Saccharomyces cerevisiae S288C: one gene and its partners. Changing the gene in region 2 together with the main gene of any one other region gives a genetic interaction. Each region holds a gene or a part of one and is shown on either strand. Other genes may lie near its edges.

Evidence for each region. A genetic interaction does not mean that the proteins touch.
Region 1: mutations in RTN1 (region 2) and ERV15 together harm fitness more than expected from each alone (negative genetic interaction), as found in Saccharomyces cerevisiae (2 studies listed by BioGRID).
Region 3: mutations in RTN1 (region 2) and SPO7 are lethal when combined (synthetic lethality), as found in Saccharomyces cerevisiae (2 studies listed by BioGRID, with this or other methods).

The regions. Positions count from the first base shown.
Region 1 is NC_001134.8:643,917-647,169, forward strand, and holds ERV15 (Erv15p), read left to right. Parts: upstream 1-1,633; coding exon 1,634-2,062; downstream 2,063-3,253. Other genes in the region: AME1 (Ame1p), read right to left, coding at 2,242-3,216.
Region 2 is NC_001136.10:927,589-932,088, reverse strand, and holds RTN1 (Rtn1p), read left to right. Parts: upstream 1-1,731; coding exon 1,732-2,619; downstream 2,620-4,500. Other genes in the region: homoaconitate hydratase LYS4, read right to left, coding at 1-960; HEM1 (5-aminolevulinate synthase), read right to left, coding at 2,991-4,500.
Region 3 is NC_001133.9:134,281-137,824, forward strand, and holds SPO7 (Nem1-Spo7 phosphatase regulatory subunit SPO7), read left to right. Parts: upstream 1-1,573; coding exon 1,574-2,353; downstream 2,354-3,544. Other genes in the region: MDM10 (Mdm10p), read right to left, coding at 1-1,385; FUN14 (Fun14p), read left to right, coding at 2,634-3,230; ERP2 (Erp2p), read right to left, coding at 3,418-3,544. UniProt on the Saccharomyces cerevisiae protein: Regulatory component of the NEM1-SPO7 complex which acts as a phosphatase and dephosphorylates the phosphatidic acid phosphohydrolase PAH1. Essential for the formation of a spherical nucleus and meiotic division.

The DNA.
Region 1 (3,253 bases), on a different chromosome or scaffold from region 2:
TATTTCCAGTATATTTTGTATACCTGATATTATAGCCTTTAGCAACAACGAAATCAACATTTATCTCAAATTTCACCTGTTTCTCATTTTTAAGCGCCTAGCCCATCTAATCATCTTAACTATTCATCAGGGAAAATTAATATACATTGTGCTCTTAATGTTTCGAAAAATAATCAAAATCAATAGAAATAGCGTTTTGCTACTAACAAAGCCCTTTGATCCAAAGTTGGCTTCTGAGAACTTAACATTTCAGTAGAACAAGCCTCAAGCTTAAATGAAGAATGGCAAAGTAAATGAGACCTCTCTCTCCATATTTTGCTCAGAGCCTGTTAAGGAAAACAACACCGCACATTAGTGTGAAAAACTTTCCCCGCAAGCTGTTGGAAGATGAATCATTTATTATCTTTTGACTGTTAGCTACATTACTAGCTGTTATCAATCTCTCAGACGATTATATGAATATTGAGATAGTTGTTGGGATTAACTTATTGTTAGAGGCTATAGCATCAGATATACAAAATAAAATAAAAAGTTCTCCTCCAAGATATAGTGTAATCGATATTTCGATGTAATGCCATCATTATTTCTTCTATTTTATGTATTCCTATTGTCCTCTAACATTGTATCTGATAATATTCTAGTAATAGGATTACCATCACTAAATGATAGTTAATTCTCATTCCAAAACCGACTCCTGTCAATATTGAGGACCCATTTATTCCAACGGTCCAAATCCCCAATATTCCCTGCTCGGCAAGAAGTTAGAAAACATATCTTTCGTGCTCTTGCAGGCTTGCTGTATTATCATAACCGAAGGATGACCAACTTTGATCACCCCAGGTGGCAAAAACATAATACATGGTGGTGGTGTCGTTGTAAAAATCATCTTCTTTGGGTGTGTATAGGATCCCATCCAACACACGTGTTAAAATGACATCAGGTATCAATGCTAATCCGTCGTCACTGACAATAAGCTGAGTTGACATCACCTGATGATGTGAAATAGTAGCAAGAGAACTAGGGTAAGGTTCATGCTGGTTGTTTTCCTATGATGACCAACCTTTGGAATTGGGTAATTCTAGGTGTAGCCTGCTAGCCATCAAACGAGACCTTTCAAAATCTTCAGTCATTACATTTTCTTCTGTAAATAGGGAAAAAAGCCTTTAGCTAGGATTGTTCGGCAATAGAAAGCCCTCCAGTTTAAACTTGACATAGAAAATCTTTAAGGTTAAATCAAACATAAGTTATTATCCGATATAGTGTAACGGCTATCACATCACGCTTTCACCGTGGAGACCGGGGTTCGACTCCCCGTATCGGAGTTATTTTTTGTTTCTATACCATTATTTTTCTTGAATGTTGCATTATGATAGTATAGTTTTGCTATACAAACTTCAATTCTCAAAACACAGTACGTCTAGCTCACTACTACTCTCTCTAATTCAAAATCGTTCACTTCTATCGAAAGCTGTGATAATTTGGAAATATTGTCGTGGGCCACGAATGATTTTTCAATTACATTGCTAAATACGAAGACATTAATACCTTTATTCATATAAGCACTTTCATTATCATTTTTTACTAAAGATAAAACTAACTGCAGGCACCAAGAAGTTCGAAGCCAAGAGTAAAGATGTCAGGAACCGGATTATCGCTATTCGTGACGGGTCTTATACTGAATTGTTTGAATTCCATTTGCCAGATATACTTTACTATATTATATGGTGATCTTGAAGCAGACTATATCAACTCAATCGAACTGTGTAAGAGGGTGAATAGGTTGAGTGTACCAGAGGCAATTCTACAAGCTTTCATTTCTGCATTGTTTCTTTTTAACGGGTACTGGTTCGTATTTCTCTTGAATGTCCCTGTTCTAGCATATAACGCAAGTAAAGTCTACAAGAAAACACATCTACTGGACGCCACGGATATTTTCAGAAAATTGGGTAGATGCAAAATTGAATGCTTTTTAAAATTGGGATTTTACCTTCTCATATTCTTTTTCTACTTCTACAGAATGGTCACAGCGTTACTTGAAAATGATGCAAATTTGATAAGCTAATAGCGACAACAGGAAAAAAAAAGAGAGATTTGTGCATATCTATGAAGTATGTCTACCACATAAAAATGACCTTATAACACAACTTCCTTAGTATGGAAGTAATACATATATACATATATACATATATACATACATATATATATATATATATATATATATACATCTTTTGAACCAATTCCCTATAGACTTGGTTGTAATTCGTTAGAAAGATTTTCATTAATTTTATTTATCTTTTTCAGAAGTCCGTTATATGGATCCATCAAGTCTACGAAATGTGCAATATCCAGAATATTTGAGTCATCCCGTATTGAATCGTCCTCGCTATCTTGGCTCATAATTTTGCGATCTCCCTCGTATTTGCCTAGCAAAGTAGAAGTCAAATCATTTAGCCTCTTATTTAGCTTCACTTTGTCGTTCAGTTTGGCTTGTTCATTTTGTAAGTCATGCCAGTCTTTACCGGCTTTCAACTCTTGAATTTCATTTCGTACCGATATTATCTGCTGGTTCAAATCTTCTTTTCGAGCAAGTACCTGCTTCAGTTGGTAGCAGAGCTCATTATTCGACACGTTGATATCTAATATGTCTTTCAAGTCTCTGGTCATTTGGTCTGATATCGTTTGAAAGAGTCGCAGATCTAATTTGTACAATAGTTTCCTAAATTGATCATCATCACTTTTATTGAAATCCTTCAAAGCTTGCGGAATCAAATCATTTTCAAATAAGTTTATGAATAAAGAAGATAAAACATCAATTGTGGTCACAGAAGTGATAGACGATGATAGCTGTCTAATGGGTATATCATCGAAATTGTAACGAGTAGTAAGGTCTTCATCATTTCTAACATTTTGCGGCGATTCGCTTATAAGACTTTTATTTTCAGAGTCGATCATGGGATAGTCTTCTGCATCCAAGGGCTGATACCCATGTTCATGACGGTCCTGCGCATTTACGTTATTAGTGGTAATAGGAAACTCGAAAGAATTCGCAAGTTTTGGTGAAGACAAAATGGGTTGAACAGGAGATTGAATAGGTGAGTTCTCCTCTCTATAAACAGCATTTGGCGTCTTAAATACAATAACATCATCATCTATATCGTCTGTCCTTCTTGAATGACTGCCCCTCAGCCTAAAAGCTAATTTAGTGTCTCTATCCATACTGAGGTTTTTCTTTAAATGAACACGCAAATAGTCA
Region 2 (4,500 bases):
GTTGGAGACCTTAACACTATTTGGACCTGAGACGTAGTGAGTTAGCGTGGCTAGATCGATGATCAGTTTCTTGGCATAATGTGCATCCTTGTCTGCTTTCGGAATCTTCGCCTTTTCTTCTAGTGCGCGGATAGTCTTTGGATTAATCCTTGGATGATTATTGGTGCCCAGCTTTTGCAAACGGTTTTTATACCAGTCGATCAAAGTTTTGTCCACGGGGAACAAACCAGAAAGAGCCCCCCACTCGGTGGTCATGTTAGCAATAGTGAGTCTGTGATCGATAGGCAATGCATTCAAAGAGTCACCCGTGAATTCAATGGCGTGATTTAGAACTTGATCATTGTTGAAAAGCCCACATAATGCGACAATGATATCTTTTCCGGAAACACCCTGAGGCAATTGACCTTTCAACTCAACCTGAGCCACTGGTGGGATCTGCCACCACGTCTGTCCCGTGGCCCATATGGCTGCAGCGTCTGTTCTCACTATTGGAGTGCCCAGCGACCCCAGACCACCGTAGGTGTTTGAATGCGAGTCAGATGCGACAGTCATGTTCAAGGGGAAAGCATAGCCCTCCTCAATCATAATTTGATGACCAATACCTCTACCGGCAGGGTAGTGGTCTATATGGTGTTTCTTAGCAAAATTTTCGATGTTCTTGTACTTGGTCAAATTTTTCTCTGATTTGTTCTGAATATCGTGGTCCAGAGTGGTCACAATCTGTGAAGGATTCTTGATCTTGGTAGCGCCAAGCCCCATGAATTTCAAAGCTACAGGCCACGAATTATCGTGGGACATACAGTGTGCCGGCTTGATCGATACATAGTCACCAGAATGCACAACTTTACCCTCGGGAAGGTTGACCGCATACGACTGAACAATTTTTTCAGTTAGGTTCTGACCTTTCAACCAGGCCCTAGAACTGTGGAACGAACGAGTAAATGTGGTTGATCGTAGCATCTTGAAGCGATACAATTTTGTTTCCTTGCAAGTTCTATTTTATTGAAAAAGTGATATTGTCTACTATAAGAGGCAGCGCAAAACTAGCTATTGCACACACAAACACACGAGGATTCTTTTGTATATATAAATACCTATGGGGATATATATATATATATATATATGTGCGTGTCTGTACGTGTGTGTGGACATGAGATTGTGTATACCTGTGTATGTTGGTGATATTTGCTGCCTCTGGTATAGACTCATCGATTACAAAATTTCAGTCATCTCGAGCAAAATCCCGGGGGAAAAAACAATAAAAATTTTTTTTTTCCAAATCGCTCCATTCTGCTCACTTGACACGAAATTGTTTATCACTTGATACGTGTACATTTTACCGGGTTTGCGGTAATTTCGCACGAACAAGCAGTGAAAAAAGTCATAGGAAAATTTTTCACCGTAGCAGCCAACGCAGTTGCGTTTTTTCCAGTTTTTCCAACACCAGAGGACAGCTTTGGCTATTCTTTTCGGTGTTTGGTGCTGTTGTATCGCTGGCTTGTGGTATCTTCTGTTTCCTATTTAAAGTTGGTCAGTGCCCCCTTTCCAGTGGGCTTCTCCCCTGTGTGGGCTGTTTCTCTTCTATGGCACTTCAACTTCGCATTTTTCAAATTTTTATTCAACAATTCCCTTTTCTTGATCTCTTTCTTTTCAACTCTCAAGCCAAATATTTAATTGTTTCTTCCTACCCGCAAGCGTATATATATATAATATATATTCACACACGCAAATATGTCCGCCTCAGCTCAACATAGCCAAGCCCAACAACAACAACAACAAAAAAGCTGTAATTGCGATTTGCTATTATGGAGGAACCCTGTTCAAACCGGTAAATATTTCGGTGGGTCTCTGTTAGCCTTGTTAATTTTGAAAAAAGTTAACTTGATCACTTTCTTTTTGAAGGTTGCCTACACTATCTTATTCACAACAGGATCTATTGAATTCGTATCCAAGCTCTTTTTGGGACAAGGTTTAATCACCAAGTATGGTCCTAAAGAATGTCCAAATATCGCCGGCTTTATTAAGCCTCATATCGATGAAGCTTTGAAACAGCTACCAGTCTTCCAAGCCCACATAAGAAAGACTGTATTCGCTCAAGTCCCTAAGCACACTTTCAAGACCGCTGTTGCCTTATTTCTACTACACAAATTCTTCTCCTGGTTCTCTATCTGGACCATCGTCTTTGTTGCTGACATTTTTACCTTCACTTTGCCAGTTATCTACCATTCCTACAAGCATGAAATTGATGCTACTGTCGCTCAAGGTGTAGAAATTTCTAAGCAAAAGACCCAAGAGTTTTCTCAAATGGCTTGCGAAAAGACAAAACCATACTTGGACAAGGTTGAATCTAAATTGGGCCCAATTTCCAACTTGGTCAAATCTAAGACTGCTCCTGTGTCTTCTACTGCCGGTCCTCAAACCGCCAGCACTTCTAAGTTGGCCGCTGATGTTCCATTGGAACCAGAGTCTAAGGCTTACACATCTTCAGCTCAAGTTATGCCAGAAGTTCCACAACACGAACCTTCCACTACCCAAGAATTTAACGTCGATGAATTGTCTAATGAATTGAAGAAAAGTACAAAAAACTTGCAAAATGAATTGGAAAAAAACAACGCTTGAGTGCTTTTTTTTTTTCATTTCAAACAAGAATAGCTAACTTTTGTCTCTTTATTTACCACTACATATTACATTAGCCTATATATACTCATACGTTTCTCTCTCTTTACTTTCTGTACCCCCGAGGAAAAATACATAAATTATTTTTGAACTTTCCCTGCTTTTTTACCAACATTGCTACAGTTTAACCATTGCAGTTAAAAGTGCTCATCGTGTTAGTTAAATAAATAAATAATTAAGAGAAATAATAATAAAGTATCATACATAAATAAGAATAAAAAAAAAAAATGAAAAAAAAAAACTGTTAATTTTTTTTTTTACTGATTTACAAATTCCTTGTACCTCTATCTCAGCCCATGCATATATTGGTTGTTTTACTGCTTGATACCACTAGAAACCTCTAGTTGTTTAACGATGGGGTCTCTAACATTAGGGTTCAAGTCGTCATTAGTTAAAGATAGTTGGCTTGATGTCCATAAGTTAGACTCTTCCACAAATCCGCTCTCTCCAACACCCAATAAGCCACCTTGGCTTTCCCAGTCTCTGACACGTGGTAACTGTAGCTCATTGAACACATCATCAACTGCATTGATTAAGATGTCAGATAAATCGTTGGTGTGACCTGGCGTTGGGGTAATTCTCAATCTTTCGGTACCGCGAGCAACCGTAGGGAAGTTGATAGCTTGTACGTAGATTTGATGCTTATTGATTAAGATGTCAGAAGCTTGCTTAGCCAAATCAGCATTACCAATCAACACTGGGACGATATGAGAAGGATTTGGAATAACTGGAATGCCCAACTCATGGAAAGCTTTCTTTACGTACATGGTATGTTTCTGTTGCGAGGTTCTTAGGTCGATGTGGCAACGTTGGTATCTAATTGCTGCGGTAGCGCCTGCCATAACTGAAGGTGGTAAAGTCGTGGTGAAAATGAAACCAGGTGCAAACGATCTGAACCAATCGATCAATTTCCTAGAGGCTGCGACGTAGCCACCTACGCTACCGAAAGACTTACCTAAAGTGCCGGTGATCATGTCGACACGGTCCATCACAGTCTTCGCGCCGCCCTTGTCATTGGTCTTTGGGGTAGCAATACCACTTGCACGGTGACTTTCAAAATCACAATGTTCTGCAACACCTGCACCGTGAGGGCCGTACAGGCCGACCGCATGTACTTCATCCAAGAAGGTCAAAGCACCGTATTTGTCGGCCAAGTCGCAAATTTTTTCTATGTCGGCCACTGAACCGGCCATAGAATATACTGATTCGAAAGCAATTAGTTTAGGAACGGATTTGGGGTATGACTGGAGCAGTTGTTCCAATTCGTTCAAGTCATTATGTTTGAAAATGTGTTTTTTTACGTTAGCATGCTTAATACCGACAATCATGGACGCATGGTTGAGTTCGTCGGAGAAAATCACCAAGTCCTTCATCTTTTGACCCAGTAGGGATAAGACGGCATCGTTGGCTACGTAACATGACGAAAAAACTAAGGCACCTTCCTTCTTGTGTAAAGTGGCCAATTCGGCTTCCAGATTCAAAGTGGGGATGTTATGGCCAGCAATGTTTCTTGTACCACCGGCACCACAACCATACTTGTCGATAGTTTTATGCATGGCGTCCAATACCTCAGGGTGCTTGGAAAGTGCTAAATAGTCGTTGGAACACCAAACGGTGACCTTGTCCGCCTCTCTCTGGCGATGAGCTAGGGGGAACTCCTTGGCCAATCGGTTGATATTGTTGAAATATCTGTACGATTTGTCAAGTCTTTTCTTCTGCAGTTCGGAATCTATCAGGCCTTCGTAATCGAAACCCGACTCCTGGGTGGAATGGTTGGCAGCAGCGGCTGCTGCTGCTGCTGCATGTGTTGATGACGCTGTGGCA
Region 3 (3,544 bases), on a different chromosome or scaffold from region 2:
TTCTTTTCATCATCGGATAAACTTTCTTGAAAGCCTCTAGTGAATACCAGCTCTGTCCCGGCAGATATTAAAAATCCCCTCCATTTGCCTTCCCATAATAGTTTTAAAGTCTTGTCACGTAATGACGTGCTTAATTTCCAAACACTGGTAAAAATGGAACTATTTATTTTGTTATCAAATTTTTCGATGGTAGATCTTTCTTCATCGATTTTTCTTAATGACGACGAGAATGCATAAGTTAAATCATTTAATAGCTTTTGTTTGTGAACAGGTATATCTAGTGTAGAAGGAATATCGTTAACAGCTGAATTCAGATCCGGTACATTTTCGTGCAGTAGTTTAGTCGCTCTGCTGTTTGGATTTATATCAACCAATTCGTCGGAGATTGGTTCTAATTTATCATTATTGTTTTTATTGGTTTCAAGCAAATGATGCTTTTTTTGCCAAAATTCGCACCCAAATGAAAGATTTGATTCAATCGAATAAAGATTAAAATCATACTTCGCGCAAAAAGTAGAATTTGTCCCTGTCTTGGCCGAATATGTGGAGGATATATGGCCGAATAATGGATTCCAAGATAATGTCAAAGTTAGTGGTCGTCCTGTGTTTGTAGAATGTGTGTAATATCTTAAAGTTGTCGAACAACCGGGGCTTAAACTTACTAACCCTAACCAAAATTCAGCACCAAGCGACAACGAAGAATTATTGTACAGTGAGGTGTTAAACTTGGAAGGCGTGGTAAGGAAATTGTGTAATACTCTATAACCACATAATAGATCACTGGTGGAAAATATCCACTCCTGTAAATTGCGGTGAGAATCTCTTTGAAAATAGCACGTTAAAACGTTTAAGCTTTCTTTGAAACTACTGACACCCTTAAGCATAAATTGGGTTTGTGGACTTAGTCGTTTTATTATCATTGCTTCTAAATCAGAGCTGGGGTAGTACATTCTACCATAATAAAGGGATTTTTTAACAAATTTCGAGTCATGTAGTAATTTCTTGTCATTGTCGACTGTGGTGTTGTCACTACTCAACGTATTCGCACTACTAACACTGAAATTGAGGTTTGGTTGCAATTGTCTGTATGTTTCGGTGGCATCTTGTAATGGGATATCAGTAGAGTTGCGCATGAATTTCTCCAATTGCTGTGCATCGGAGTATAAATAACTCAGAGAACCATTTATCCTGGACCTCGTAGAAAAATCTAAAGAATTGAATGTATTGGGAGTAGATTTGTTGGAAATTTGCAGGTGTATTGCTGAGGGAATTCGGAAATCTAATAATGTTCTCGATGTGGCCGTTATATCCTCGTAGCTATTTTGCGTACTCCAATGGGTGCTCTGATAAAATGCCCTTAGTACTTGGTCCATATAGGGTAGCATCAAGATCGGTCTTCTCTGTTCGTGTCTTTTTCCTAACGTATATTTGCTTTGTTTCTTCACTCAACAATAAAGTCAAAGTAAAATTAAATACTAATTATTCTTAAAAGGGAAGATGCGAAATTTAGCGAAAATCTATTGATTATACACACAAAGGAAGAAAGGTAGTGGAAAGCTAAATAAAGGAGGTCATGGAGCCAGAGAGCATAGGCGATGTGGGGAACCATGCCCAGGATGATAGTGCCAGTATAGTGTCCGGGCCTCGCAGGCGTTCTACTAGCAAGACATCCAGTGCGAAGAATATACGGAACTCCAGTAATATCTCTCCAGCATCGATGATTTTCAGGAATTTGTTGATACTGGAGGATGATTTAAGACGCCAAGCTCACGAACAAAAGATACTGAAGTGGCAATTCACTTTGTTCTTAGCGTCTATGGCCGGTGTAGGCGCATTTACCTTCTACGAACTTTATTTCACTTCAGATTATGTCAAGGGCCTCCATAGGGTTATTTTGCAATTCACTCTTTCTTTCATTTCCATTACTGTAGTTCTTTTTCATATCAGTGGACAATATAGAAGAACTATCGTCATTCCAAGAAGATTTTTTACCTCTACTAATAAAGGGATTAGGCAGTTTAATGTGAAGCTAGTTAAAGTACAGTCTACGTGGGACGAGAAATACACAGATTCAGTAAGATTTGTGAGTCGAACAATTGCTTATTGTAATATTTATTGTTTGAAAAAATTTCTGTGGCTTAAAGACGATAATGCCATTGTGAAATTTTGGAAAAGTGTCACGATACAATCCCAACCGAGGATCGGAGCTGTGGATGTGAAATTAGTCCTCAACCCCAGAGCATTTAGTGCAGAGATTAGAGAAGGATGGGAGATTTATAGAGACGAGTTTTGGGCCAGGGAAGGTGCTAGAAGACGCAAACAAGCGCACGAACTCCGACCTAAATCAGAATGAAAGAGTTGGAGGGCTTCTTCCTTCGAATAAGAGGTCATATTTACCTATGTAAAATTGTAACCATCTATGTTCACACATAAATTATATTTTATACATTATTAGAAGTGAAGCTGTTGTGTCGTGAAAATTTTACAAATCCGTCATTTCATATTTAAGTTTTCCAACAAGTGCTAGAAAACCTAGGGGTTGTTGAAATTGGTTAAACAAGGCATCTTATTATACATACAACAGCATAACGCTAGAGGGGCAAGAAGGAAGAACTTAAAATAATAGGTGTAAAATGACTTTGGCTTTTAATATGCAACGGTTGGTGTTTCGTAATTTGAATGTTGGGAAGCGCATGTTCAAGAACGTCCCCTTATGGAGGTTTAATGTCGCCAATAAATTAGGAAAGCCCTTAACTCGCTCTGTAGGGTTAGGCGGTGCTGGCATAGTTGCTGGTGGCTTTTACTTGATGAATCGCCAGCCTTCTAAGTTGATATTCAATGATTCTTTAGGGGCAGCTGTCAAACAACAGGGTCCCTTGGAACCAACTGTGGGCAACAGTACGGCAATTACCGAGGAAAGGAGGAACAAAATAAGTAGTCACAAGCAGATGTTTTTGGGATCATTATTCGGTGTTGTTTTAGGAGTTACGGTGGCTAAGATATCAATTTTGTTTATGTATGTCGGTATTACAAGCATGCTTCTTTGTGAATGGTTACGGTACAAGGGATGGATTCGCATTAATTTGAAAAATATCAAATCTGTAATTGTTTTGAAAGATGTAGACTTGAAGAAACTGCTTATTGATGGGTTATTGGGTACAGAATACATGGGTTTTAAAGTATTCTTTACATTGAGTTTCGTATTAGCAAGTTTAAATGCTAACAAATGAGCAAGACAAATGACCAGATATAAACGAGGGTTATATTCTTTCGTTTTATACTTTTTTATTTTTGGTATTTCATTTATCCTATACAGTAAATATACATAGGGCTAAGGAAGAAAAAAAAATCACGTCGAATATAAACCTAATTGTGTTCTATATTGCGGACATATATTTTTCGTAGATTGAAAAGTTCTTAAACGTAATTTTTTTGACGACCAGTGAAGAGGAATTGAATAAGTAGAACTTGGGCAATACTTATAACGGCAATGATAATGATAATCAATATAGATAACCAAGTCAACCTTGATTCGGTGGAATTG